Alligator mississippiensis: one gene and its partners. The protein of the gene in region 4 interacts with the protein of the main gene of each other region in a biochemical or structural test. Links are inferred from orthologs where the notes say so. Each region holds a gene or a part of one and is shown on either strand. Other genes may lie near its edges.

What was found.
Region 1: of the proteins of RPS6KB1 (region 4) and MTOR, one has a biochemical effect on the other in vitro, tested with the Homo sapiens proteins (18 studies listed by BioGRID and IntAct, with this or other methods). The link is inferred for Alligator mississippiensis from reciprocal best matches to the Homo sapiens genes RPS6KB1 and MTOR.
Region 2: the proteins of RPS6KB1 (region 4) and PDK1 form a complex in vitro, tested with the Homo sapiens proteins (2 studies listed by BioGRID and IntAct, with this or other methods). The link is inferred for Alligator mississippiensis from reciprocal best matches to the Homo sapiens genes RPS6KB1 and PDK1.
Region 3: of the proteins of RPS6KB1 (region 4) and RPTOR, one has a biochemical effect on the other in vitro, tested with the Homo sapiens proteins (6 studies listed by BioGRID and IntAct, with this or other methods). The link is inferred for Alligator mississippiensis from reciprocal best matches to the Homo sapiens genes RPS6KB1 and RPTOR.

The regions. Positions count from the first base shown.
Region 1 is NC_081836.1:12,052,136-12,059,082, forward strand, and holds the start of MTOR (serine/threonine-protein kinase mTOR), read right to left. Parts: upstream 3,001-6,947; 5' UTR 2,924-3,000; intron 2,895-2,923; exon of another isoform or gene 2,772-2,894; 5' UTR 2,733-2,771; coding exon 2,613-2,732; intron 2,441-2,612; coding exon 2,332-2,440; intron 1,060-2,331; coding exon 827-1,059; intron 458-826; coding exon 257-457; intron 1-256. Other genes in the region: UBIAD1 (ubiA prenyltransferase domain-containing protein 1), read left to right, coding at 3,405-3,954. UniProt on the Homo sapiens protein: Serine/threonine protein kinase which is a central regulator of cellular metabolism, growth and survival in response to hormones, growth factors, nutrients, energy and stress signals.
Region 2 is NC_081827.1:211,866,157-211,873,769, reverse strand, and holds the start of PDK1 (pyruvate dehydrogenase (acetyl-transferring) kinase isozyme 1, mitochondrial), read left to right. Parts: upstream 1-4,598; 5' UTR 4,599-4,653; coding exon 4,654-4,771; intron 4,772-7,613. UniProt on the Homo sapiens protein: Kinase that plays a key role in regulation of glucose and fatty acid metabolism and homeostasis via phosphorylation of the pyruvate dehydrogenase subunits PDHA1 and PDHA2.
Region 3 is NC_081831.1:1,247,600-1,254,809, reverse strand, and holds the start of RPTOR (regulatory-associated protein of mTOR), read right to left. Parts: upstream 3,015-7,210; 5' UTR 2,726-3,014; coding exon 2,564-2,725; intron 1-2,563. UniProt on the Homo sapiens protein: Component of the mechanistic target of rapamycin complex 1 (mTORC1), an evolutionarily conserved central nutrient sensor that stimulates anabolic reactions and macromolecule biosynthesis to promote cellular biomass generation and growth.
Region 4 is NC_081837.1:3,662,782-3,670,111, reverse strand, and holds the start of RPS6KB1 (ribosomal protein S6 kinase beta-1), read right to left. Parts: upstream 3,004-7,330; 5' UTR 2,876-3,003; coding exon 2,804-2,875; intron 1-2,803. Other genes in the region: TUBD1 (tubulin delta chain), read left to right, coding at 6,025-6,196, 6,974-7,121. UniProt on the Homo sapiens protein: Serine/threonine-protein kinase that acts downstream of mTOR signaling in response to growth factors and nutrients to promote cell proliferation, cell growth and cell cycle progression.

The DNA of each region.
Region 1 (6,947 bases), on a different chromosome or scaffold from region 4:
GTCTGATCACCTGCTCTGTTGAGAACAGTCTGATTGCTAGGATAGACTAAATCAAAGGGCTGGCAACAAGTTGCAAAAAGCACAATAAAACTTCGGTGTATGCGACCCGTTCCTTTTCTACTGGTTGATCCCAAGGCCAGAATATTTTTAATCATGACTGAGAGGAGCCAACACCTAACCGCCTTAGCTTAGGCCAGATCTTGTGTGCTGACACAGAGAAGAAAGCTATTTAAAGTGGAAGGAACTCCTTCCTTACTCTGTACCACTGGGGCTTCTGCATCTCTTTTGGCTCCCGCTGGGTGGTGAGGATGAGGCAGGCACGTAAGGCAGAGACAGCTCCCTCTCGGATGGCCTGTTTGGGGTCCCATACAGCCACAAAGATATTATCAAAGAATGGCTGCACTTGCTGGAAAAAGAAGGTAGGCACGCTGATGGCCAGTTCACGCAGGACGAGAACCTGGAGACAGGAAGGAAAATGGTGGTGTCAGGGAGAGGTGGGAATTTAGAAGAAAACTTCCACATGCTTGATTTGTCTTGCCTAGTTATACTGTAAGCTTTGGGAAGCATGCTGCTGGGTTTCTACAGTGCCTGGCACAGGAGCATCTGAGTCTCGGTTCCTAAGCACTACCAGAACAAATACCATTAACAGCAGACCAACTAGCCCATCCTGTAGCTCTTCAGAAATGGAAGAATAGCCATTCCACTCCCCAGCTAGGACTTCCCTCCAACCCTCTCCCCACTCATTGCATCCTTCCTCGCACAGTTCTCATCACTGCTACTCATGAGCCTGTTCCCAGGAAGGCTGAGAAGCCAGAAGAGCACTTACTGCCGCATGCCTTCGACCTTCATTCCTATCAGCTCCCAGCCACTCCAGAGCCCGTTTCACTTCAAACTCCACATATTCTGCTGTGAAGGTGTCTCCCGTCATGGCAAGGCGCCCGATAGCCTTGGACGCCATCTCCATGACAACAGGGTCATTGGAGGGGAGCAGGTTCCGAAGGTAGTTGGCAAACCTGCCGATGCGGGTGGCATTGCCTCCCTCAACACCAATAAGACTTGCTGGGGAGAAAGAGAGCATGGGTTAAGTCCTGCCAGTGGGTTAGTGTGGCAAACAGTAGCAAAATCCCTGGAAGAGAGTTCTTTCTAGGCAGCCTGGAGAGATTCCTGCTAACGCTTCCTAAACTGCAAATCCACCAGAAACATTAAGCAGCAGGAAAGGTCAGCATTCTTCCCAAGCTTGGATCTGTTATGTAAAACAGAGAAATGCATCAAAAAGGTTCCATAAGTCAGATTTTCCTTGTATTACTTTATAAAGATCCACCCTGGGAACACAGATCCATTCCAACACACCTCCATCTATATACGGCTACAATGGACCCAGGACTGAATGGAGGAGACTGTACTCTTTCAAGAGGTGGTCTCTCAAGGCCTGGCTTAAGGAACATTGGCAGGGGCAGCGTGGCAGCAGAGAGGAGCCATCAGTATCCAGGGTTGTCAAGCTGGCACCTTCCACCAGTACTAAGGTCACAGAAGTAACTTTAAAGTAATGCTGTCTGCCTAAAGTGAGATGTCATTGACAAAGATCACTCCACCTCAACGACCTCCATCATCTCTAAGCACACCGGGGTTGGTTTGGTTATGATGCTTAACTCAATCCAGAAGCTTTATGGAGTTATTAAAAAGCAAATGGTGCAGAAATGAGGGATCCATTTGGAAGGGACTGTTTTCACACGAGTTATCTATCTGTATCATGGGCTCCCAACCCCCGGGCTGCGAAGGGTTGGTTGCTGGTCCGCAGGAGGGTTGGCTGCCAGACTGGAAGTCCCGAAGTGACCGGCATACTGTGGACCGGCAACCAACCCGTTTTTATACCGAGGATAAGAAAGGGTTGGCTGCTGGCCCGCAGTACGCCGATCACTGCTGGTCTGTGGCTTACCGGTCCACAGCATAAAAAGGTCAGGAACCCCTGATCTGTATCCCCAGGAGTTGCAAAGTTTAGGCTGCTCTGCCACACAAGAACAAAAGCTCAACAGGGCAATAATCAGGGGAGATGCTACCGGGAATAAATGCAAAAGCTCCTTGGAGGTGGGCCCTGCTGCCACCGAGCGAAGGGTTTTAACGGGTACGATTATTGCTCTCAGGCCACAGGGAGCGCAGACTATTTGCACACCATGCTCACTTAACGCAGCTGAGCATCGCGGCCCGTATTTTCGTAACAACGCAGGACCACGTTCTCAAGCGCTCAGCGTGGAGACACCAGGTCTTCAGCTTGTTTGCGTCACGGGGAAGTGGAGAGCGAATCTCCCAGAGACACCGAATCCCTGCGCTCACCTATCGCCAGGATGCCCCCCTTCTTCTCGTTGGTGTCGGAGCTGGAGACCAGCTCAAATATGTGGTGATTCAGCTGGTCATAGAAGCGGGTCGACTCCTCCTGGCTCATCTGCGCAGGAAAGAGAGTTCAGGCCCAGGCGGAGCCGCCCCCGGGCAGCAACGATGCCGGGGCCTCCCAGGATCCAAACAGGCGGCGGCTTCTTCTCCCTGCCCCTCCCCTGCCCCGCCCGCCCGCCCGCCACCCCCGTCCCGGGCCTCCCAGACCCCGCGAGCCGCCACACCTCGCGCAGCTCCATGGTGACATAGTGCTGCAAGTCCTTGGCCGCTTTGGCCCGCGTCTCCTCGCTGCGGCTCTTCAGGCCGTTGGCGAACTGCTGAAGGATGGACACGGTGCCCGACATGGCGGCGGGGGCGGCTCAGGGCGTCCCGCGCAGCGGGGCCTTGGGACACAAAACCGCGGCGTTGGCACCGGCGGGGACGGGCTCCCGCACAGACCCGGGCCCGGAGCCTTGCAGCGCCAGCCGCCGGCATGACAGGGCCCCGCGCCGCGGGGCGTCGCCAGGTGACCGCGGAGGGGGAGGAGGGCACTCACCGCCTCCTCGCCGGCTCCCTCGCTCGGGCCCCGGCTCCACCCGCCGGGCCGGCGAGCAGCACCCACCCAATCAGCGCCCAGGCAGATCGGAGTGGCAGCCACCGCCGCCAATGGAGTGGGGAGGAAGGCGGGGTTCCTAGGGGAGCGCAGCCCCGCCCCCCAAGCCGGCTAGCTGGGCTGACCAATCCGGGAGCAAAAAAAAAAAAAAAAAAAAAAAAAGCGGTCCGATTGACACGGGGCTCCGCCAGTGGCGAGCCGGAAGCAGCGTGATTGGCTAGAATGCCGCACTCCCACCCCTACCGGGGAAGGTGGCCAGGCGGAAGCAGGAAGCCGCCGGGGGACGCCAGGGCGGGACACCCGTCCCTCTGCTTCCGGGTGCGTTGCTGAAAGTGTCCCCCCGCCTGCGGCCGACCAAGGGCGCCGTTACCGTAATGACCCGTGCTGCGCGCGGCGGGTTTCGCGCCCCGTGAGGCTGAGCCCCATGCGGCCTCCCGCCGCACCGCCCCGCCGGGGCCCCCTGCCGGCCCCCCCCTCTGCCGCCGCCGCGGAGCCCGCTGAGGGGATCAGCATCGGCGGCGGCGCGGAGCTGAGCGAGGCGGGCGCGGAGCGGGGCCCGCCGGGCGGCTGGAGGCAGAAGTGCGCCGCCTACGTGCTGGCGCTGCGGCCCTGGAGCTTCAGCGCCTCGCTGACGCCCGTGGCGCTGGGCAGCGCCCTGGCCTACCGTGCCCAGGCCGCCCTGGACCCCGCGCGCCTGGTGGGCAGCGCCGGCGCCGTGCTGGCCGTGCACGGGGCCGGCAACCTGGTGAACACCTACTATGACTTCTCCAAGGGCATCGACCACAAGAAGAGCGACGACCGCACGCTGGTGGACCATCTCCTGGAGCCGCGCGACGTGGTGCGCTTCGGCGTCGTCCTCTACACGCTGGGCTGCGTCTGCGCCGCCGGCCTCTACTTCTTGTCCCCGCTGCGGCTGGAGCACCTGGCCCTCATCTACTTCGGCGGGCTCTCCAGCTCCTTCCTCTACACCGGCGGTAAGGACTGGGGATTGCGGGTGCCGGCCTGGGACCAGCAGGAGTCCTGATGGCTGCTCGCGGCGTTCGCCGGCTCGGGGGGGGGGTCTGACGGCCTCTCCTCCATGTCTGCTGCTGTCCTAAAGCCACGGCCTCTGCCGTCTTGTACACGTGGGTGGGTTGGGACTTTTGAACGGGGATGCAGGTTCATGATGCGTGGGTCGGAAGGGACCTTGGTAGGTCAGAGTCCGACCCCCTGCCCTGGGCAGGAAAGAGCGCTGCTGTCAGACGACCCCGGCAAGGTGCTTGTCCGGTCTCCTCTTGAAGACCCCCAGGGTAGGGGAGAGCACCACCTCCCTGGGAACCCCATTCCAGATTGGGCTGGTGGTGCACGTGTAATGTCACGCGTGTCTTTCTCCTGTTCGTGATGAGCTAGGAGCTTTCTTCATAGGCTGTGGGGGCCTGGGGCTGGGTTGTTCGGTTTAAGGCGGAAGCAAAAACAAATATAATTCCATTGCAGTGAGTTAAAAACAGTCCGCAGGGCTGCGGAATAGGAGCTTCGGGACCAGGAGCAGCAAACGGGCAGCAGCATGGCAGGATGAAGGCTAGCTCCAGTAGTGGCACATCAAGACTATAAAAAAGAGAGGGTGGTTAACACTGTGCAATGAGGACTTTAGTAGGGATCGGGGTAGATTATAATGAGCTATGAAGTTATTTGTCTCCCTAGAAATGCTGCAGCCACTGCCAGGCAGTTAGTTGGTTTTAAACTTCGGGTGGAGCAGGAAGCAACAGGCACCAGAGCACCCCACCCCCTCCAGATCTGCCCCAGATTACACTTCACAAACAAATTACTATGCGCTGAAACTTTAAGGAAGTGAATGTGATATTTGAGTGCTTACTAGAAGTGCACCGATACATCGGTCCCATATCGGATTGGCACTGATATAAGGAAAATTGACAGTATTGGCAATTGGCTTTTTTTGGCTGATGTGGCCAATAATGCCACCGATTAAATGCCCTGTGCACGCACACAGCTGCAGCGCAGCACGCAGGCAGCCCAGAGCTCAGTCCAGCAGCGTGGAGAGCAGCCGGGTCTGGCTGGTAAGTCTGTTGTGGGGGAGAGGGGGCAGATCGAGGCCCCTACAGTGAGGGAGGGAGTGGGGTAGGGGCTGCACAGCTGGGGTGGAGTGGAGCCGTGAGCAGCCCATCCAGGTGGGGGGGGCAGGTCCTGCTGCTGCGTGCACTCTGGGAGGGCATGGGGGCATGTGCCCCCAGATTTGTGCACAGTGAGTAGGCAGGCTGCCACTATGGGCTGGGGCTGGGGCAGCCTTGAGGGGCTGGGCTGGGCTGCACTCGGGGCAGACCGCGGCGACGCTGGGAGCGGTGCCTGGGGGGCGGGCTACAGTGAATTTTGTGGTGGCTGCAGCCCCACCCCAGAGCCCCCTCCCAGTGCCACCACTGCCCACTCTGAATGCGGCCTGGCCCAGACCCCAAGGCTGCCTTGGCCCCAGCCCATAGTGGCAGCCTGCCCACTCCCTGTGTGCAGATCCAGGAGCACACGCCCCCCTGTGCCATCCTGGGGTGCTCGCCTGCTCTGCCTCAGCTGTGCAGCACCTGCCCCAGCCCCACTCCCTCCCTCATTGTGGGGGCCTCAATCTGCCCCCCATACCCCTTTGCTCCCCCCTTGCCTCTTCCCCCACAACAGACTTACCAGCCAGGTGCTGCTCTCCATGCTGCCTGGCTGCATATGAGAATCGGATCAGTATTGGCCGATATGGCCTGTTAAAAATTGGTCATCGGTATCAGCCTAAAAATTCTCTTTTGGTACCTCCCTAGTGGTTACTCTGGAGAGTGGCTCTGAAGAAGGGCTGTTGTGCCTCCCTATGGCTTCTGACCCCTTTTCACCACAAACCTGGGGCATGAACGGTGGCTGATGTGGCAGAAGGCCACCTCCTGTTTCTACCCAAAACCTCTGCTCTGTGACAATTTGGTTAGGATGGGCCCAGCAGAGGATATACACCTTACCCTATCTCTTTAGGTAACCTGAGATGGATACATTCCTGAGGGAGGGGTGGAAACCTGCTCCCTCTGCCTACGTGACTGGCACCACATACCTGGGTGAGGGCCTGGGCATCCTGGTGAGCTAGAGCCTGCCAGTCTGCCCAGCAACTAGTGATGCATTTCACATTAGTTGGCTGACAGGCAACAGGTGCTGGCCTCCATTGGACCAGGTAAATGAGGTCACAAGGGCTATATAAGTTAAGGACTGCCTAGGAGGAAGGGCAGCAGCCATGAGGAAAACTCGGAGAGAGAGAGGAGCTGGACCATCTAAAACTTGCTCGCTCGTTCTCTCTCTCTCAAAACTCATGATCAAGGAACTGCCTGCCTCCAGAGGGAATCTCCACCTGCCTCTGGATGATACTTGTAAGCTACCTGAGATCTAACTAGATGTATAGCTTGCAGTAACTCGGATGCGAGATCAAAGGCTACCCCGGCCACAGGAGTTTGCTCTATGGGATTTCTCTGATACTACTCAACTCTGTGCCCTATTCCAACCCTACCCCTTGTAACCAATAAAGTTCTCCTTTGTACCTAGTGTGGGACACTTATTGGGAGTGGGTCTGGATTATGCTGTGGGGTCCCCTTGGTTCGGCTGACTAAGGGAGACCACTACTTGTGCTTCTGACTGAGGGAAGCACCCCAAGCTCTTGAAGTGAGTCAAGTACCCTCGCGGGCTACTAGGCCTGTGTTTCCCAGAGTGCGCAGAGCCTGAATCGAGCCCATCCCTGGGTGGTGGCAGTTCTACCCCCAGGCTAGCGGGTATGCTCCAGGAAGGGGGTCGGCCAGACGTGAGACACCCTCAGGGAGGCACCCAGAGCCTGGAAGGTGGTTGGGTGCAGTGAGGTGGGTGGCTCGGCGCAGGAGCACCCCCTACTGGCCTGCCACAGCTGAAATGTATACTTCCAGTTCTTGTGATCTCTGTTCTCTTCTCCACGGGTAGAGCCTGGAATGTT
Region 2 (7,613 bases), on a different chromosome or scaffold from region 4:
TAAATTTAGGCGTGGGATTGGCAGGAGCCTCCAAACTGGGTTTGCAAGGGGTCCTGTCCTAGGGCTTAGACTTGGGGCTGATAGTATTGGCAGTTTAACTTTGGGATTGACGTGGGATCCTGGGCCAAGGTAAGGCTTGGGGCCCCAAGCTAGGCACAGATGTGGAGAAGGAGGAAGGTATAAACTAGCTTTGTAGTAGTGCTAGAAATAGGTCCTACTTCTAGCCCAAACTCAAAGTAGTCAGGCTGCTTCTGCTTGCTGCAATGTTGGCTCCCATCTTGGTAATACTAGCTGGTTAGAGTCTTAACCATAGCTCCAGAAGCAGATCCAAGTGGGGTGCAGTGGTAGCCCTCTGATTCCTGCTCCACCCAAACTCTAACTCAAAACCTTAACTCAGATGCGGCAATATTAACTTAGGTGTAGAAATGACTCGCAGTGAAGTATTGGAGGCACTGCCAAGCCACTCAAGAAGGTTAATTTTGGTTTATGACTCTGAATAAGAAAACTACATTTAACTGTGGTGAGTACAGGACTAATGACATGATATATCTTTGGGCTATTTTTTGCCAAGTTTGTTGTGTTTTTTCAAATTTTACATAGAATGTGCACTCATTTACTAGATTCTAATAGTTACTTGTTTTGCTTTGATCTTCAACTGAATAGTATATATGCTAGCCCCCTTGCATATTAGTAAAACATCCAGTTCTTTAATAAGAGACAACCATGTGTTGTGTTATGTGATGATATGCCATACCATCCGCACCCCCAAGTTTTCAAAATCCTAGATCCATCCATGAATAACTCCAACTGAGGGCCCTCTACCAAGCAACACCATAGTCTTAACCATGTGCTCCATGACAGTGCCTCTGGCACTCCTACTTTAATATAATCTTGTACCCCCTCTCCTAAATGCTCTGAACACTAGTTTAACCTTATGCTTTCAGCTAGGGATGTGAAAGGTTAAATGTTTAAATGATATTTATACTGGTAATGAATTACTGGTTAATGTGTAGTGCAGGGTGCACTCTGGCAGGGAAGCAAAGTGGCAAGGTGCATCAGGAACAGGAAGGAAGCAGGGTAGGCAGGAGGAGTGAAGGGGAGGAAGGGCCTAATGCTCATAGCTAGTAGGGCTGTGTGAAGTGTCGGTCACTGATTCAATTTGGCCCGATTTGGTGGCTGAATCTCCGAATCAGAGTAGAATCGGAGGACCCTTTAATTTCTCTGAATCGAATTTGAACCCTCTGAATCGATTTGGAGATCTGGACATAGATACAGCTTTGAATATTGTTTCTGCCTACTTCTAGGTAGTAGGGGCTTGTAAGTGCTGCGATGCTGGGGCGTGTGGAGTGTTCCACAGAAGCGTGGGGAGTTCCGGCTCTGCGGCTGAGCACACTGGGGAACTGGACCAGAAGCACTCCCTGTCCGCTTCTGGGTCCGCTGGAGAGTGCATGGGGGGGGGGCTGGTGCCCTCCGGCTCGGTAACTGGTGCCTCCTGGGTCTGGGTGGGAGGGGGGTCTTTCGGTCCACTTCTGGGTTTGCTGCCGAGCAAGTGGAGGGCACCCTGCACTCCTGTGGGACGCTCCATGCACCCCAGCATCACAGTGATCAAAAGCTGCGCCTGCTACCTGAAGGTACATAGAAAAAACTTTTAAAGCTGTCTGTCTGAATCGGTGATTCTCTGACTCAGCATCGAATCTTCATATTCGGATTCGGCCGAATCGAATCGGGGAAAGTGATCTGAATCAATGAATTGAATCGCTGTCCCCGATTCAAGCCGAATCTGAATCGAATAGGGCTCACTTTGTACTCCCCTAAAAGCTAGTCTGATCAAAACTTGATCAAGATGCACCATGAAAGATCTCTGTAACCAATGGTGTCAATAGACTTAGAAACACGATTCCAGCTGCATAACCAAGCACCAGACCGGCATCATAAGATGGGCTCAGACTTGCTCTAACATCAGCAAGGTCTGATGAAGGGTTTCTTTCTACAATACAAAGACAAGAAAGAACAGCCCCCACAAGCCCAGAGGAAAACACCTCAAAATGTTAACAGTTTTAATTCCAAACAAAATTAAACAAAAATGTTAAAGGTTAATTCCAAATTAAAAATATAAATATTGCTATTAGAAGTCTGTATTATCTATTGTGCCTGCTTTTGCAATATCAAGTAAATGAGACAAAAAGATTGGAATAGATAGCTTGCAAGTGGAGGGCATTATCATAAATGCTTATGATAAGATAATGACTACAAACTTAACTTTACAGATGTGTTTGGTTAGAAAGGTGTAGAGGAATGCAGGAAAGAATAAGGGTCTCAATGTTTCACCCTCTTTGAAGCCGTATGAGTGAAACTTGCAGTGGAGTACAATAAAGGCAGCTCTTAAGAATTCAGTCTGTGAGCCCATAGCTAGCTGCAGCATCTCTGAAATCAATTCTCTTAATAAAAGGCTGGTTTAGTTTTAGAGTACTTTCACTCAGAACAGAATATGTTTAAAAAAAAAAATGTCAAAAGCTGAGCAGGACCACAGCAATATGAAGTATGTTATTAATAGGTAAACTGTTAAAAACAGAACAACGGCATGGAGAAAGATACTCAGACCCCCAGACATGCTAAGTTTCCAGACAAAAATATTTGTTCCCATGCTTTTGGATGTTGCGAGTTTGTATGGACAGAGGAGGCTCCAGAGCACATTGCTCATGACTCATGCCACCTTCAGCACTGTTCTTTCCAGGCCATCCAAAAGAATAGGGTTTTTCTTACAGTAATGTATCTTTTTATTTGATTGTTTTTAAGTACAGAATTAAAAAACACCCCCATCTCCACAGTTGGCTCACAGACCTCATTGCATGGCCTTAGAAGGTTTTGAGATTTATCTTAGCCCTCTGCTGAGATGGACAGCACAAGGCAACTCTCCTGCTCCCTTCTCTTTCAAACACCTACACCCCCAAGGGCTTCTTGCCTGAAGCCTTGCCAGCAATCCCACTCTCTCTTCAGTTTTGGGGAGTTTTGTAGTCTGGTTATTTAGAAAGTTGGTGCTAGTTTGCCCTCAGAGCAGTTCTCAACCTCTCTAGCAGCTACCCCTTTCCACCTGAGCTGCAGCCTCTTATCTCCAGCTGTGGCTAGTCAGCCAGTTAGCTGCTAAGGAGCTCCCTTTCTCCCCTCCCAGGACTTAGTAGGATGAATATATGCCATTTTCTATGACAGTCTGTATATAAACCATAGAAGATAGAGATGAGAAAAAGGTGGTAGAGGTTTCTTGTAAATTTTTTTTTTTTCACTGGAAGTGGGAGGAGAGGGAAAAAGGAGAGGCAGGATTGCCAAGAATAATAGATTCCACCACATCCAGGTAGAATCAAAATGCTACAATAGCTTCACATCTGTGAAAGAAGGTCTCAGGCAACCCAACAGTGTGCTGAGGAGAATGGGGTCAACAGGCAGCAAGAGTTATGCATTTCAGCAGGCATGGTCTCCTAAGCATTGTCACGTCAGTTAGTGGACCCTGGCTTACTTTTAGCAAATGTGGTCTACAACTTAGAAATGGGAACTCTTGTCACATCTCCACGCTAGCCAGACACACAGCAAAGCCAATTTTTGACAGCAAGACCCACATGGCAGGGTTGACCCCACCACAAGGAGCAAGTGCCACAAGAAGTCATGCACTAAGCAGTAATCCTAGGACACTGATGCTCAACCTTTTTGCCCAGCTGGACTATTAGGCAGTGCCTGGTCCACGCCCAAACTTGGCTGGTGGACCCAATGCGGCACTGGGACAGGTGCAGCAGGGACTCCTGAAGCCATGTGGATGGGGGGCAGCCTCTGCATGGGGGAAGGGAAAGGGGACTTGGCCCAGTTCTAACTTGGCCCCATGGTTGGAGGGGGCATGACCCAGCCCTAATCCAGCTCCATGGGGGAGGGGGGTGCATGGCCTGCTACGCAGGTTCACGGCCTGGCTCTGAACCTCTGCATGGGTTTGGGGTTTTGGCAGCCGGGTGGGGTGGCAGAATTCACTGCCACTGGTCCCTGGCACCAAGTTTCCTGACCTTTGGGAGCCCCACAGGCCAGATCCCAAGGCTCCACCGTCTGCATTTGGCACAGAGGCTGCCGGTTGAGCACCATTGCCCTAGGACACGTACCGCCGCCTCACACCACAAACCGCTTCGTGAATGGGGAGAGAGCCAAGAAGATGCATGCGATGGCCAGGCATGAATCCGCAACAGGTCTAGGAAACAACCTGTGGGGAAAGCCTGGAAGAACGGGGAAGGCCGCGCGCGGTGGGACTGGACAGCGGTCTTCAAACGGCAGACGGGTGGTTACAGGGAGGATGGTGAGGGCTGCCAGAGGCAGGGCAGGCAGCTGTGGGTGAGGCTGGCAGCTGGGCAGCACTTCCCCGCTGCGGGCTAAAGCCCGGCCCGGCCACCTGCCGCGCGCCGCCCCTGCCTTGCCGCCCAAGGAGGAGCGGCCACGTAGCTAGAGCGCCCCCGCCGGGCCGCGCCCCACCCCCCGCAGCCTCCGGGCCAGCGGCAAACCCGCGTCGCCCGCCCCTTCCCCGCCTCTGCCTCCTCCCGGCGTGAGGCGGCGCTGCGCTGCGCGGGGCGGAGCCAGCTGGGCCGGCCGAAGGATGGCGGTAGGCCCGGCCTGAGCGGGGCCGCCATGCGGCTGCTGCGGGCGCTGCGGCGCTGCGTGTCGCCGGCCGGGCTGCCGCAGCAGGTGGACTTCTACGCCCGCTTCTCGCCCTCGCCCCTCTCCATGAAGCAGTTCCTGGACTTCGGTGAGTGCCCGGCCGGGGCAGCGCCGGCCCCGCCGGCTCCCGCGCGGCCTCCCTGGTCGAGGCCGGCGGGGCGAGGTGGGGCTGGAGCGCCCTGCTCCGCTCTGTCCTCTGAGGGCGCCTTCACTGCCAGGCGGGAGCAGGGGGAGACCCTTGCCTTTGTGTGGAGCAGCCTTGAGGGGTGTCTGCCCTCTCAGGTGCCGAAATGTCCTCGGCGTCCTGGAGAAGTGGGGCTGGCGGGCTCCTCCAGCGGGCACCTAGTCCCACCCCTACCCGAGGGCGGACGGCGGGGTCGTCCCTGCTCAGCCCGGCCTGTACAAATCCATAACCTGAGCTCTTCCTAAAACCGCTCTCAACAAAGCCTGCAGCTTCAGGCAGCCTGGCGCCAGCCACAGCAGAAGTTGCATGGCTGGGGAAGCGATGACAAGCCTTGCCGTACCAAGCAAAGCATCCAGCAGCCCAGGCCTCCGGATGCACCCTTGTTTAGAGGAGTGGGGGGAAGTGGGTGGAAGACCTGTTGATGTGCTCTGGATACATGGAAAGGGAGGAAATGGCAAATACAACATCATGATGGGTGGGTGTCTTTGCTATAGGCCCCAGCCGGGAGGATAAGTTGGATGATGGTTTGATTTGATGTCTTTCTTTATTTCTTTAACATCAAGCAGATCTAATGGAAGCATTCCTCCCTGCTTGCTTCTGCGGCTGTATGGCTGAGGGCAAACGAAACTCAGGGGCATCCGAACCGCAAGCCTCTGGGCTTGGGCCTGCACGTAGGATGCCCACCAGAGGATTTGGGAACATCTGAAGCCCCAGATGAGGGCCAAGGATGTTTGCCGGTAGTAGGGCCACTTATTGTTCTGGACTGTCTCTGATTTGGAATTGACTTGGCTTGGGACATGGAAAAATTTAAATAATAATAAGAAGAAGATCTAATGGAAGCGTTCAAATCATAGGTCTTGGTCTGTTTGAGGAACTTTATCTGTGTCCTGCAGATCGCATGGCAGTCCATGTGCCCAGCATTTTTATAAGATGAGCTTGAGAACTTAAATTCAATAAGTTTGGACACTAAGTACACCAGGGATTTAACATAGTGACTTCATGGCCCATTATAATCTACTTGATAACTTCTGCACTTCACTGGTGATAACAACCCTCTTGAGCAATCTTTTTTTTTACTCGTGCTTTTGTTCTGTCTGCTGCTTAGCTCTGCTGTGTCTGCTTCCCTCCCAGAGGCCAGAGGGATATGCCTACATCTATTCCAGCTGGACAGTTGGCCCATTAAAATAGATCACCCACAAGAATTCTTGCCTCTGCAATTTTTAAAGAGTTATGATTATGTTAAGCCTTGTTGAACTTCGGCTAGAAGCAGATGTTGCATTAGTCCTAGGACACATTGTGACCATGTTTCTGACATAATAAAAGTCCTAGGACCAGCATGCACACACACACACATCATTCTTTCAGTCAGGGTTTCATGAGCAGCTGAAAGCACTGCTGCTTCTCTGCCATTGACAGATGTAGTCCAGGAGGTTCCGACATACTTTGTGATGTCCTGCAACAAACTTTCAGCACTTTTTGTCCCATGATCCTCTTCAGGATTTGTCTTGGGACAACAGATATGAATGTCTGAATGAGTAAACTTTGTTCTGGGATAAAATGTTTTTTTCTGGGGACAAATGGGATGTCTGTTTGTAGCCCTAGTGGGTATAACAGCTATCTTCCATCTGGGATCGGGATCAGTGTAAAAAGTGGCTGACCTCCTGTATAGAAACATGCAGAAACTAGGGCAGGCTGGCACTGCAGAGACTGCCCTATCTTCTGCCTGACTTGTGACTAACATGACTGAGCCACTTCTCTTTATAGACGTAGATAGCTGAAACAGTAGTGGCCTCTGCCCAAAGCAACAAAACATATAGACAGTGGGTTTTAACTGCTTATTGTTTTAGAGAGGTGTGAGAAAGAAAGCAAGCAAAAGTCATGACAGTCTGAGCACCCTGAGAACGTGGCCCCGAGAAAAGATTATAGATAAAGCTTTTGGGCTAAGTGCCGACTAAGAGGAGGCTTGGAGCAGTAAACAGGGACTGCCTTGTTAGTTTTTTCTCCTGTATTCATACAAACTGGGCTTTGTATCTTCATTATAGTGAAGCAAAGCATCAGAGAGAAACCTGACTTAAGCATCAGTTTATTTTGATGGGAGACCACATTTTTAACCGTGTTCTCAGTTCAAGAGGGATAATGGAAGGCATTTCCTGCTACTTGAAAACAAAGTACCACTCACAAAATAAGTTTGGAAGTGTCAAGTCATACTGTAGTAGACCCAAGTTTCAGCAGCAGGTGTGGAGGTGCAGGGTTGTGCCCCCTGCTGCTGCCAGAGGGCAAGGAGTGCCTTGCCATGGTGGTGTGGGGCGCCTGGCAGTGGCACTGAACCTCCTTGCCCAGACCTGCTCTGGTCTGCCGTGCTAGGTCCTGTCAATTGGGCTGCGGAGGCCCCAGGGGGAGTGCACCAGACCTTCCGCACCCCCCCTGTGCCCCACAGGTTCCACTGTAGCCATGCTGCCTGTGGGAGAGGGGGAGCTGGTCTGCTCTGCTTCCTGCTTGGGGTGCAGCAGCTGGGGCTCAGGCACTGCTGGGAAAGCAGGGGGTTGTGGACTCGGGTCCCTGGCACCGTAGCCTTGGCAGCTGTGGGCCTCTCTGGCAGGGCTGGGGGTGGGGTGGGCTTGTGGGTGGGGAGTGAGGGGCACCAGCAGGGCTGGGGTGACGGGGGCGGGAGGGGCTGTGGGTGGGGAGTGAGGGGCAATGGCATGAACAGGGTACTGGCATATCAGGGCTGCTCAGCTCCACAAGG
Region 3 (7,210 bases), on a different chromosome or scaffold from region 4:
TCTTATTCTTGATTTGAATACACAATACAGTATAAATCAAAGTTGAAGCAGGACATGATGTTAACACCCACATACTTAAAAGTATAATGCAGTGTTTAACAAGCACAAAAGGGCAGCTGCAAGTCCAGCTTAAGGACTGTTGCACCTGGAATTGTCAACCGTTGTGGGGAGCAAGAGATGGGAAAGGGAGGGGATGAGACCAGCTTCAGCTGGGACCATCCCTTCTCCAAGTCTGCATTTGAACTTTATATAGAGCTGCTTCATCCCCAACTATTTGGCCTCTGGGAAAGAACCTGCAGCAAAGAGCCAAACACAGAGAGACAGAGCTGCTGCAGAAGCATGTTCAACGGAGACCCAGGATAACCTATTCCTCTTCTCTCTCACTTATGCTACTACTTAGGACCCTCCCTTAGCCTCACTTGACATCTACCTCTTACGTCCTTCTCTTTCTCTCTCTCTACTTCTCTCCCTTCCAGCTACTACTCACCCCATCCAAAAATATTATCACACTAATGTGATGTTTGCCACCATTTTAGCATCTATTCTATTTGAACATTATCTCCATTTTTGCTACCCACTGTCCACCTTGTCCATTGTAATCTCTAAGGCAGAGGCAATAAGACCCCAATCTCCATCAGACCCCAGACATTCACATGACGCACAGGAGTAAAAAATAAGTCAGCTAAACACCACAAAGAAATCAGTGTATGAGAAAGGACATTTGGAGAAGATTATTACGAAGAAGGACACCACAAATGGATTATCTGAGCACCAAAGAAATTAGGAAACAAAAGGTCTTTTTACTTTTATCTACATCAGAATGGCCTACAGTACGTTTTGTAAGATTATAATATTCATTCAGCAATTTTTGCTTTTTTTTTTTTTTTTTAATTCCTCAGATGGTTGTGGATTGGGAGAGACAGCCACTGCTCACCCACAGGAAAGGGCAGCATGCCTACAAGACCTCAGGAAGTCTACAGATCACAGAAGGGGCTATCAGTACATCAGGTTCATATTTTCCCTTCCAAGGCATCCTGACCTTTGATGGCTTAACATTTAACCAGAAAAGTTGAGATACCAGAAATCACATCCCAGAGGTTTCCTGCTAACTGCGATGTTACCCAATACAAGCTAGAGAAACATCAGTGTAATACCTGGTACTATGCTTAGTGGATTCAGCCAAGAGAATATGATCTGCCCCGACAAGTGAAAGTGCTTGAGAATCTAACAGTTCATTTTCCACCTTTTAAACACTCAGCTCGTATTACTCTGGGAAGAATACACTGTCCATATTCCCTGGACCATACTGGAAAGAGAGTAAAGCCTTCCACGCACCTATCAGCCACTGGATAACTTCACAAAACAGAAAGCCTGCGTTTATTGCGCACTCTGCCCACACCAGAAACCCAGGGACCTGGAGAGCTCCATTTCAAGGACCTTACTAATTTAGGACCTTACTAATTTAAATTCCTTCCTAACAAAAGCGCTGCTTTCGTAGGCACTGTTTAAAACCATGGTTCACGACCTTTTTTGTACCAGGACCCATCTGTACACATGGATGGGCAAATAATTAGACGTGCACTGAGACAGACTTACCAGCTGCACGCAGCTCTCCAAGCACATCGGAAAGCGGATCGGTACGAGCCGATACGCCTCCTTAAAAATCAGCTATCGGTATCAGCTCCCAAAATCTCTATCAGTGCACCACTATAAATCATGTAAGTAGAAAGCAGCCCCCTGGCCTTGCACCGCGGTGCCCTCCACCCAGTGTGGGAGGCAGGGGGTGGGTGGGAGACAGGGGTGTGCGTGTGGGGGAAGAGGGTGGGTGTGTGTTGGGGGCAGGAGTGTGCATGTGGGGGGGCAGGGTGTGTGGGGGGCAGGGGCGTGCATGTGGGGGGGCAGGGGGAGGGTGTGTGGGGGGGCAGGGGGAGGGTGTGTGGGAAGCAGGGGTATGGGGGACAGGGGTGTGCATGTGGGGGGGCAGGGGGTGGGTGTGGGTAGGGAGCAGGGGTATGGGGGGCTCAGGGGTGTGCATGTGGGGGGGCAGGGGGTGGGTGTGTGGGGGGGCAGGGGGAGGGTGTGTGGGAAGCAGGGGTATTGGGGGGCAGGGCTGTGCATGTGGGGGGGCAGGAGGTGGGTGTGGGTAGGGAGCAGGGGTATGGGGGGCTCAGGGGTGTGCATGTGGGGGGGCAGGGGGTGGGGGGGCAAGGGTGTGTGTGTGGGGAGCAGGGGTATTGGGGGGCAGGGCTGTGCATGTGGGGGGCAGGGGTGAGTGTGGGGGGGGCAGAAGGTGCCCAGGCAGCCCCTCGCCGGGCTGCGCGGGAACACCCCCGTTTCCCCCGTAAGGAAGAAGCCACGTGCAGCCGTGTGCTCGCACCCCTCTGCTGCGTCGCTGCGGCCCCGGGGGCAGAGGCGCCCGCGCTCAGCGCGCCGGCTGTCAGCACCCGTGTTTCGTGGCTGCGGCGCAGAGACGCTCCCACGGGTGCCGGCACGCGGGCGAGGCGAGGCGAGACGGGCCGAGACACCCCTGCGCCCTCTCCCACCTGCCCCAGCCCCTCATTACCCTGTCCTTCATCCTCCAGCTCTGCGCCAGGGACTTGGAGCCCTCGATCTTCTCGCAGTGCCGCTTCTTCATGAAGGCCAGGGGCAAGTTCCAGTCCGTCAGGTCGGACTCGTCCTCCTCGCCCAGCCCCAGCAGAGGCGACTGCAGCATCTCGGGCTCCATCGGGGGCCACGAGCCGGGCCCTTCCTCCACCGTGGGGCGGGCAGGCCGGGGGGGTGGGGATGCTCCCGGAGGGGCGCTGAGGCCTGGTCGGGCCCCGGCTCCGAGCGGGGCCTCCCGCCGCCGCCTCTAGCCCCGCGGGGCCCGCGCGCTGCCGGCCAGCTGCCGGGCTCGGCCCATGGCGGCCCCAGCCCCCTGCTGCGACGCGACACGCGGGGGGAGTTGTCCTGCGGCGCCGGGCGGCGAAACTCCCCTCAGCAGCACGACACGGGGGCGGCCATCTTGGGAAGGCCCGGCATGCAGCGCGGCTACGGGCCGGCGCGCGGGACACGCCGCGTTCGGGCCAGGCAGGGAGGAGAGGACCGCAGTTGCCATGGCGACCGGAGCATCCTTCCCCTCCACCGCCCTTCTAGCAGCCCAGGGCTCAACAGCACCAGCGGGCTCGGCCGGGCCGGCGGGGACACAAGTTTCGAGATAGACAAACTTTTCTTATATACATAAACTTATCTCTTTTATACATATACACATCTAGATAGATAGATAGATATGTGTGTGTGTGTATATATACTTTCTGGCATGTGTAGATAGATAGATAGATAGATAGATAGATAGATAGATAGATAGATAGATAGATAGATACACACACATATGTATGTGTATATATATATATGAAAGAGCTAAGTTTTTATATATAAAACTTTCTTATATATATAAAAACTTATCTTTCTTTATATATATATATAAAAGAAAGCTAAGTTTTTCACATTCCTGAAGCGTAGACTTTAAGAACAACACCAAAAAGCCTGAGAGTTGGCAACACTGGAGCCATTGCAATAGGCCTTCAAATACAGACTTCCCCCCGCTTGAAGCCCGCTATGCGTCCCCAGCCAGCAGTGCTTCGACACGAGCGCCCCATTTGAGAACCGGGCACAGCGCTGTCTCATGCGGCAGGAAGAGAAGAAAGGTGCTGGGGCTGGTGGCGCAGTCGCTGTTCTGCTTTTTACACAGCCTCAGTTTCCCCAAGTCAGCCTTCCCCACGAGTCAGTGTTTTTATGCCAGCCTCTGAAGGCAGTCGAGAGCGAGCAGCTGTCCCCCCGGGAGGCTACGATGATCTGGTGTAATTTGGAGGGAGTAATAGCCGTGCACATCTCTGGTGCTGCTTGCGTGAAGACAGCTTTCCTGACCCGCCAGCCGTCGAGTCTGTTCATGGACTCCGCACCTCCCACGAAGCTCAAAGGCTGCAGCAGGACTGAGTGGCCTCTGGCAGAGGGGTACATTTTATCCATGTAATAAAGCGAGTACAGTCCTTTATAATGGTGGGTTTAAATGCAAATGTCATGCAGCAGCTACTAGTCTAGCCAACGCTTTAAAGAGGGGACTCTCCCTTGGATGGCTCATTGGCCTGGCTGGCGAGGATAAACTCACAATATTTGTTATCGTCAGTCATCATTTGACTGGCAGGAGCGACCGGCTTGGGAAACCAGTCAGGAACCAGACATCCTCTGTGCCAGGCACTGTACAGATACAGAAGAAAAAGACAGTCCCAGCCCCACTGAAGTTACAGCTCTAGAAACCAGGACCAGTAGATATAGGTGAACAAGAAAAGGTGAACAAGACTCAATAAAACACACACACACACACACACACACACACACACACACAGACTGAAATAATTTTTAAACAGCTTTTAATCAGTATCCATTTGTTATGTTTCTACTCAAACATGTTCACTTTCTTTCTTACCAATGTTGTCCTTTTTTGTTTGAAAACACCGGGGATTTTCCCTTCCTCATTTTGGCTAGACACAAAGCATGTCATGGCTGCTGCATTCATTTTGTTCTAAATTGTTTACTTCTAATGCACAATCCCTCATCTACCAAATCATCTTTGAGCACCAAGGTCTTTGATGTCAGCACAGCTTTGAGAAGAGTATTAGTGTGACCAGCTACGTCTGGCTGAGGAGCTTAATTCCACACTGTTCAGGAAAGAGAAAGCAGCAATACTAGGGATCCTATTGCTATGTGTAAAGGCCCTATCCACCACTCATGTGAATAGGTACAGCTCCTTCCATGGATGTTGCACTGATTTACACTATTTGGGCCCATGTGTCTGAAACACAATGCTAACAGGAATGAATCCTTGTTTTTTGAATTGTGTCAGGAAAACACACGGCACATGCTCGTGGGGTGGGCAGTGGAGCCTGGAGCCAAGGACCAGTAGCACTTCAAGTTCTCTGACACGGAATTTGCTTTATATTTAGTCAAGGGGAAATGATCAGTTTCTCAGATACAAACGGTATTTTGGAGGTGTGTAGCTGGGATTCATCATGGCAATGCTTATTCCCATGGGACAAAGTATTCTCCAAATGCAGAGTCCAGAAGGATTCCCACCACAAGACTGGATTTTTGTGATGAAACCAGAAGGTCCCTGCAATTGTAGAAATGAGGGACTTTTTAAAGCATTGCTTTTTTATAAGCTGTGCATCAAAAAGAGCGGGTTTGCTCCCTAAACGCACTCCTTTGAGCGGGAGCAAGGTGCATTTTGAAGTGTAGTTTAGATTTACAACACTCAGATTTAAGCTCATGCATTAATATTGCTCCTGAGATGGTTGACTGGGTTGGAATACATTCATATGATCCAGGCTTCTGCAATGCACAATGCAAAAAATAACATAATGAAACAGCTGAACGCGCAAAAGAAGGCAAGCCTACGATCGTGTCTTGGGCTGTGGAAGGAAAGAGTAAGACCTTGAGGTCTCCTTTGTTCTCAGGACGGGTGTGAGGGAAAGAAACAGAAACTACAGAAATTCTAATAAATCTGCCAAACTGATAAACCGGCTGTCAGCTCACAGGGCCTTTAAGTCACTCCTGGTCATTGTCCCGCCAAGATGCATTTTCAGTCTGAGCCTCTTTGGCAGCAGCTGTTTGATGCAATGCCCTCCTCATTCCTCCCGTGATATTGCTTCCTTGGAACACAGAGTACACAGGCTCGATGATTGCCATGGGGGCCCTGGGAGCAAACACAAAGGCAGCACATGATTTACTTGAGTCTTGCCTAGGCACTAATCCCACAGCAGACCAAACCTTCCTGACCAGCTGCCCTCCCACCAGATATTCCTGATGATCTTTACCTTAAAGCGAGTTTTAAAAGTTAAACCCATAATTTCAAGTCACTGGCCTTAACTAGTTTCACACCAGCATCCCCCTGTCAGGCCCCATTCTCCTTTGCCCTACACCACTGCAGCAAGAATGCACACGACATGAATCTGATCTGACAGCATTTTGCACCTGTTACGTTCACTTTGCACCAATGCAAATGATTGCACAAAGTGCAGGGGAACGGAGCCAGTGGCCCACTGACTTCAGCAGAGTTCCTCATGATTTACACCAGTAAATATGAGAGGAAAACCAGGTGGAGAGTTTCAAAACTGTTCCTTCATCATCAGCTTGACTATACTCAAAACTCAGAATAAAGAATGGGGCTATTCAGCCCTGATTATCGGAGTGTTTTCCCCGGGTGGCAATTCAATCAAAGCGCACCCAGGTTTACATCTGAGTTGTATCCATCTGCATAATTTGATATATGAAGCCATATGCACTTTGCCTACAATTCCAAGTGCATTTGCAGTCATCAAATACAATTTTTAAAAGATGAAACATCATCTTGCCCTCAACTGGCTGGAACAAAAACATTCCCTAAAAAACCTAGGTCCCTGGGGTATTTAAAGGGGGAGATTTATTGCTTTGATTAATTGGCTTTCTGAGTTCATTCATTTGTTTATGACTATTTAATGCTGGTTTGTGGTCATGATGCAATTGAAAGACTAATTAATTGTCAGGGCACGATGAAACGTTATGTTTGCATTTTTATTGTCATTTAAATCAGAACCCAGTGCGGCCAGATTACCTTCCGTCATAATACAATTGCAGGCAGTAGGGTAACCGTCTCAAGACGGTACCTGAAAAATCACAACTAGAGCACCCAGCACAACTAATCCACCTCAGGCAAAAAGCCTGAATGAACAGATGGGCTGCGCACTGTGCCCTGAAGGTTAATAATCCGAAATCCTGACAGCCTGCTCGGGGAGCATATCCCAAAGTCAATGACTCTGCGGAGAGCTCTTGTCATCTGCTCCCATTCGTGCAGGGAAAGCTGGCCTCCAAAGAGCACAACTGCCAGAGGGGCAGGGAGCGTGCAGGGAGGCCCCTCTGGCACCTCTGCCACACCAGGATCTTAAAAGAAATGATGGTTTACCAGGATCCACATACTTTTCTCTGCAGCCTGAGCAGCTTGTGCATGGCAGGGGCTCCATGGACCCCTCCTTTCTCAAGCCCTCGGTGCGTCACCCTCACAACGCCCTCCTCTTCAGGGACTCACTACAGCCCTCCAACTGTCCCCGCATGCCAGGGACCCTTCCCGTCTCCCGTCCATGCCAGTGTCCCCCTCCTCCCCAACCAGCCAGGGAATGCCTCCCTTCTCCTCCCCATT
Region 4 (7,330 bases):
TGCACTCCTGTCGACTGTAACTGCTCTCATTCTATGAACAGATGCATTCATTTTCCAAGTCTTATTTTTACTTGCATCAAATTCACTTTTTAAAATAGATTTTTAAAAAAATCACACTGTTCATCCTGGAAGCTAGTCTGTAAATACATCATGCATCTTCCCTTCTCTTGTCATCTCATACAGACAAGAGTTTGAGAACCAATTGTGTCCCCCCTGGGTGGCTACTCTTTGGAAACTATTTCTTACATGCAAACTCTCCAGTCAAAAGGTCTCACGTTTCACTTCTGAGGATTGTCATGTCCGTATGCAACACCTGTAACTGCAGCTGTTCTTGCTGCTGCTGCCAGTACAGCTTTCAGGAGTAAAAATGCTCTATGTACAGGACTGTCTAGTTCACACTAGCTTTCTACCCAGCTCATTTCCAGGTTGGCGATTTTAAGTTTTCAGTTCTATGCATCTTTCTGTTCCCCCAAACCACACATTATGCTAACTGGAGGCAACTTTCAGTAAGATGCTACATTCACGCTCTTCTAGTGCTTGCTCCCTTTACTCCCCAGTGCATTCTCCACTTCAGAATTCGAGGAAAAATACAAAACCATTGTCACTCAGCTCCTGTTCTGCTCTTCTTTCCTTGCTGATTATTTTCAGCATTACCCAAACAGTGAGTGCGGGTATGTGTCATGAACTTGGGAGTCCCACAGAACTCTTAGTTTGTCCATCCTGTCTGAGAGCTGTTTGGGCCCTCACCACTACTGCCAACTGTGCGCTGCAAATATTCCTCCTGCACAAGCGATAGACTACAATCACAGCAGTCTACCAACTACTGTTTAATCCACTGAAGTTAATTCTTGCAGATTCTAGGGCAGGAATTTGTTCCCTCTCATGGCTCATCAAAATCTGTTTTGGTAACCCTCGGGGTGTGATGCAAGGGACATTTTTGCCAGGCATTTTATTGACTACTGATGTACAAGCCCAGGGTTTCTTCCCACAGACTGCAAGTTATGTTGCCTTCAGTGGACAAGCAAAATTGTGTCTTTTCTTAAAATCTCTTTAGAGCAAGGGTGTTCAACCCCTAGCCTGCAGAGCCATGCCATCTGGCCCACAGGGGTTCCCAGGGGTCCAAAACTTTGCCAGTGGGAGTGCAGTGGCACCAACTGTCACTCCCCTTCTGCCAATTTCCAGACCCCTGGAGAGCTTCATGCACTGCACAGCACACTGGATCAGTGCACAGAGGTGGCCTAGGGCCTGATCTGGGCACACTGGGGCCTGATGGAGGCGGTGTGGGGCTTCAATCTGGGGCTAAGCAGAGGCAGTGTGGAGCCTGATCTGGCTCATGGATGGGCCCCTTGCCACTCATCTGGCTCGTGGCCCCAAAAGATTGAGCACCACTGCGTTACAGCAACCAGAGGCAGTGATGGCCTCCAAATAATCCAAATGAATACTAGTAAGAAAAAGGTTTTACATCACACTGAAGACAGAAGATTGAGCTCAGCTTCCCGCAGGCTAAATACTAGGAGCTCAGAAAAAAAAGGCACTTTCACTAGTATATTGAAGAGACTGTACCCTTGGTTACTCTTCTGTACCTACTATTCCCTAGATTTGGAGGAGACTGGAAGCTCAGGGAAGACTGACTTCCCATGTGTAAACTTTCGACATGCGCAAGGAAATGTTTATTTCCTACATCAGACTGTTACAACAGTCTATTAACTAACTAACTAAATAAAAAAAATCAATCAATCAAATCTTCGAGCCAGAGTAAAATAGGTGCTTTATTCAACTTGACGGCACACAGCGGCAAAAAGATCATTATTGCTAAACAGCCAGACAGCCAGTAAGGACAGTAGGTCCTGCTACGTTATCAAGGCAGCAACCAAGTTTGGCACCTTGTAACTAGCAAGAAAAGCTTTAAAAAAAAATAAAAAAAAAATTAAAATGTATGCATATATTTAGCACATATGACGCCATTTGTCACAAAACCACACGGAGCGAGGGCGCAAAGAGTAAAACAGACTGAAGTTACATCCCTAGCTCCAAACCAGTCTGGGGGCACTGTCATGCGTAGTTACGTCTGCAAGTTTGTAGGTAGCCTCCCACCCCACGTGTTACAAACACGGGGGATGTTTGAAGACATCCGAATAGCACCTAGAAAAACCGACGAGGAGGGCACAGTTCCCTAACCCTCTCGTCGCCCCCCACCCCGCTTCTTTACATTTAGTTTTCCTAATTTCTACCTATTTTCACCCTCACGGACATCCTGTCGCACTTTTAGCCTCTCGCATCCCTTAGAGATCTGAGAAGAGCGGAGACTCCTGAAGAAGGGCGACTGCACCCAAAAGCTTGCAAACAACTCCCCCTCTCCCCACCCCCGACGACTCAACTGTCAACGACTGGGTCCAATGAACGGCACGCCGACTACTGCTACTCGGTGTAATAAAAGACAGCAGTGAAAGGTAACGATAATAATAATATTAGTATAACGATAACGATAATAAAGTCTAATCAAAGATATCGCATCTGCCCACAGCACTTCCACAAGTTTAAGCCTCCCCCGGCTCTGAGGTGTCCCCAAAACGGATCCCCTAGGCTGCTACCGCTGCATGGGACACCGCTCCGCATCATTTGGGCTCAAAACTTTAAAAAACCCAAAACAAAACACCCTCCTCCCCCCCCCAAAAAACATCCCGAGGTAAGGGCAGAGGGGGGAGGGTGATAATGCCAGGAGGATGCGAGGGCTGAGGTGCAGCAAGGTGTCGGCCCACCCCCCGCCATGGCCGCTCCCGTCCGGCCCGGCCCCGCGCCTCACCCCCTCCTCCAGCTCCTCGTCCGAGCCCGCGTCCTCGGGCTGGTCCAGGTCGATGTCGAACACGCCCGCCATGGCCGGGCCGCCGCCGCCGCCGCCGCCCCTCCCTGGCTGTGCTGAGTGCGCGGGGCCTGCTCCGCCTCATGGGCCCACGCCCCTCAGCGCCGCCGCCGCCATCGCCGGCTCCAGGCCTCAGCGCGGCTGCGCCCCCACCCCGAGCACGCGGCCCGCGCAGGCGCCCCACGCCGCCCGGACCCCGCAAGGCGCATGCGCCGAGCGCGCCCTGGCGCCGGGGGAGCCCCTGAGCATGCGCGCATTCCACCGGGTGCTGGCACAGAGCAGGCGCAGAGCGTTCCGTGAAGCCGCCACACGGGGCCGACCTGCCCTCAATCCCCTACCCCCTCCGGCCCAACGTGCGCTCTCTCGGAGCATGCGCAGAGCGGGGTGTTCAAAGGGACTTCAGGGCCTCCGGCGGTGGGCTGGAGTGTGTGAGGGGAGTCCGCGCATGCGCCCTGGGGGGGGCTCCTGTAGCAGTTGTGCTTCGAGGGTAGGTGCTGAGGGGATGGGGGGAGGGGTCATGGGGGGCCGAGGGGTTTGGAGGGGGGCCCTGCTCTGAGAGATTATGGGGTCCTGGGGGGCAGAGGAATGGGGCAGGTGCGGGGGAGGGGCTCTGAGGTGATGAGGGGTGCCAGCAGCCCTGTGCCTGGGGGTGATGGCGGGTGCCCAAGGGAGTCGAGCAGTGCAAGCCTGGGGCCTGGCGGCTCCGTGGGAAAGGACCTGGGGGTGACCGCGGACAGTATGCTGATTACGAGCCGAGCGCACGTTGTCCAGACGGCGAAGGGGGCTCGTCGTGAGCAGATCGAGGGACGTCGTGTATGCCCCTGTATTCGGCGCTGAGGAGGCCACGGCCAGAGTCCTGCGTCCGGTTTTGTGACCCCCCCCCAACCCCCCGCTACAGGAAGGATGTGGACAAGTTGGAGAGGGTCCAGTGAAAACGGTTGGGGGACTGGAGCACGTGACGTACGAAGAGAGGCCGAGGGAAATGGGCTGACTGAGTCTGCAGAAGAGAAGACCGAGGGGGACTGAAATCCCTGCCGGGCGCCGCACAGAGGAGGGAGCTGGGCTGTGCTGGGGGGGGGGCAGATGCCAGAACAAGGAGCAACGGGCTCACGTTGCAGCAAGGGAGGTTTAGGTTGGATATTAGGGAAAACTCTCCCCCTAGGCAGGGGGTGCAGCGCCGGGACAGGTTACCCAGAGGCGGCGGCCTCCCCGTTCTTGGAACCGCGATACAGGCCGGGTCTAGAGCCCGCTGGGTTACTGCTTGTACTTTTCGGTCGTGCTTTTTGTAATTCACTAAAGCAAAAGCCAGAGAGCAGAAAGAATTTTTCTTTATTCTCCACGTTAATTATTAGAGTCGACTGCAACCTTATCAAATGATATGTAGCAATATAAATGCTAATCCAGCTGGCTTCCTAGGAATTGTCATCCATGCTCCTGAGCAGCTGCTGTTCACGACAAAGTGCTGACTGCCAAAGTTTCCCTATAAGCAATTTGTTTTCAGTGCTCCTTAACTGGAGGCTGTCAACGCTGTGCAGCATTCCCTTCAGTCCTCTTTCCCATTGCAGAGAGTAATTCTGTTCCAAAGCTAAATGGGCAAAATCTGACTTTGTTTTAAGCCATATCTTAGCAGATTTAAGAGGAGGTAGAGATTAAAGAGACCAAACTGATCATGCCCTGCTCTACCTCACCCCTTACATGCTCAGCAAGAGAATATAATCATTCCTCTGCACCCTTGATAAAAGTATACACTGTTATATACCTGTATTGATACCTTGAGTAAGTATTAACTTAATATTTAGAAATGGGGAGACAATGAATCGTCCACGGGCAGTTGATTTAACAGTGATGAATGCTGAATGTGTGCATAATGATGCTTATTCTTTTGCCTTCTGTCAGTTTAGCTCTTTGTCATTGTTGTGCCTGTATTGCACATAAATTCTCAGTTATTTGAGGCTGGATCCTGGGATGTTTTAGATCTTTCAGAAGCAGGAGCCCGTTAACAGCTGTAGAGACAGGATTACTGGTGAAGTGATCACCAGGCAGGTCACATCAGGCATGTTTCAGCCCTGCTATTGAAAACAAAATGGAGAAAAAGATCTTGCTTCCCACAGTGGGGAATGTCAGGACTTAGCATCCACAATTAAACTTTTATTTCTAGAATTTCCTACTGTTGCTACCATCAATACAGTCCCATCAGGGGGAACATTATAATACAGCCTAGTTGGCAGCATTTTACATCTCATTTCATTTACTAGATTAGGTAACCCACTAGTTTACAATGCTTGTATCTACGTTAGTGCTTTTACAATTGTTAGCAACAACATAGCTGAACCAGTGGCCACAACAGTAGGAAACTCTGGAAAACCAGTCTGAAAACAGCATTGCAGGCAAATAATTTCCAAACTATCAGTCTGTTCTTCATGGGTCAGCAGAGATTTGCACATGTAACAAGTCAGGGTGGCGCTGTAGCATTAGTCAGTGTAGTTCACCAGGGGTGAACTTAGCCATTAAGTTCCAGTTAAGTTTAAAAAAAAAAAAAAAAAAAGCAGTCCAAGGTCCACCTGAGCCTAATTGCTACTAGCATAGTTAAGGCACGCCAAGTGCTGTAGCCATCAGTAAACATCTGGCCACCTTTCAAATCCTCACCCTGATGACTAAGTATCCATTTATAGCTGGGTCAACTGGGAGCAGTCTTTGGCACAAGCCCAGAGTAAGGATCAAACTCATCTCTCTCGAGCCATAGTGAGACACCTTAGCCACTCTGTCAGCACAGCCTGGGAAGATGGAGAGGCTCTTTGAAATGAGACTGCCTTCAGTACCACATAAAACTCAGGGAGGCTGATTTTGTTGGCTTGACTAGCAGTTGGTGGGAACAAAGTTTCCTGCCCAATCCTCACTGAAACACATCACTATCCCTGTGGGGATGGAACGTGATTGTTGACTGCAGCCTTCTCCAAGGAATTTCAGCTACTGGATCAACACAGTTACACAATTTAAGTAGTTTGGGAAAACCTCTAAACATAGGGTGAATTATATCTGAAAAATCAGTCTGTTCTCTACCCAGGTTACCGAACTGCTCAACAGCTGCCTACTCATGACTTGTTTTAGCCATAGCAAATAAAAGCATACCTCTCTTTTTTTTAGGATTAAATCCAAAGTGAAGAATGTCAGTAGTCACAGTGCAGCTTGGTCAGTGTGGTAATCAGATTGGCCATGAGGTGTTCAATGCTATCTGCAGCGATTTCCACAGTACACATGGGCTGTGCTCCAAGAAGGAGAATGAATCCTATCAGGAAGCTTGTAAAGAACGTTTTTTCAGTGAGGAGAAAACTGGAGGTACAGTATTTAAGAGGTTTTTCCCTCTCAGTGCTAATTGCCTTTGTGCTCATTAATACTTTGAATGTCATCCAAGCATGTATTATATAGAGACTTGTGAATTTACCAGCCCGACATACAAGCTCCTGTGAATTAGCTGTGTCGTCACCACCATTTTACAAATGGAAAGCAGAGACGGAGAGATTAAGTGACTTGACCAGGGTCACCGATCAAGTCATTGGCAAAGCTGAAAACAGAATCCAACTCTTCTAAACCCTAAGCTTTAACCTCAAGCCCACCCTTTCCCATGTGGGAACATGCCTACTGCAGTATTCTGTTCTACTTGCTTAGTGCATTTGATTGCCCTGTATGTCCATGAGCACTAACACAGATGTTTCTCACCCAGACAAACTTTTTCTTTCCAGACTTCAGTTATTTCACAGGTAAGTAGATCCAAACCTGCAGTTAGGGTATGAAACCTTCCCGTATTTAATGCCAGCTGACAGCAAAGATTTCCTTACTAAAATGATTTTCATTCCATGTAGAATTAGCAGAGCTTTTGGATGGATGAAAGCTCCTTTTAAAATATGAAACATCAAATGTTACCTTATTCAGATGTACTGTTTCATTGAAGTTAATGTTTCGCTGAAGTTAATGGTGCAACTTCCATGAGTAAGATGGGGGGTGATTTGATTTAGGCCTTGCTAGGTTCCTGTGCACATGAGATGTTTTTTTTTTCTTGTTACAAGATTTAGGCATGATAGTTTCTCTTGTTTTTCTCCCCCCCACTTTCTCCAGTACCTGTTGCCCGGGCTGTACTTATTGACATGGAACCTAAAGTAATCAGTCAGACCTTATCAATGGCTGCTAGATCCGGCTGCTGGAAGTATGACCATCAGTCACATTTCTGTCAGAAACAAGGGTCTGGAAACAACTGGGCAAATGGGTATGAATAATCTGAAGCTCTGTTAATACAGTACATGAATGATAAAGTAACTGAGTTCATAGCCATTCTGTTGTAGAAACAGTATGATTGCAACTATGAAATAATGCACTGTATATCTAACAGGAGCTGGAGTTATTGCTATTGTAGACAGATGATGGTATTTTTGCAAGTAAAGATACACTACTGGTATGAATGGTGAAAAGTAATCA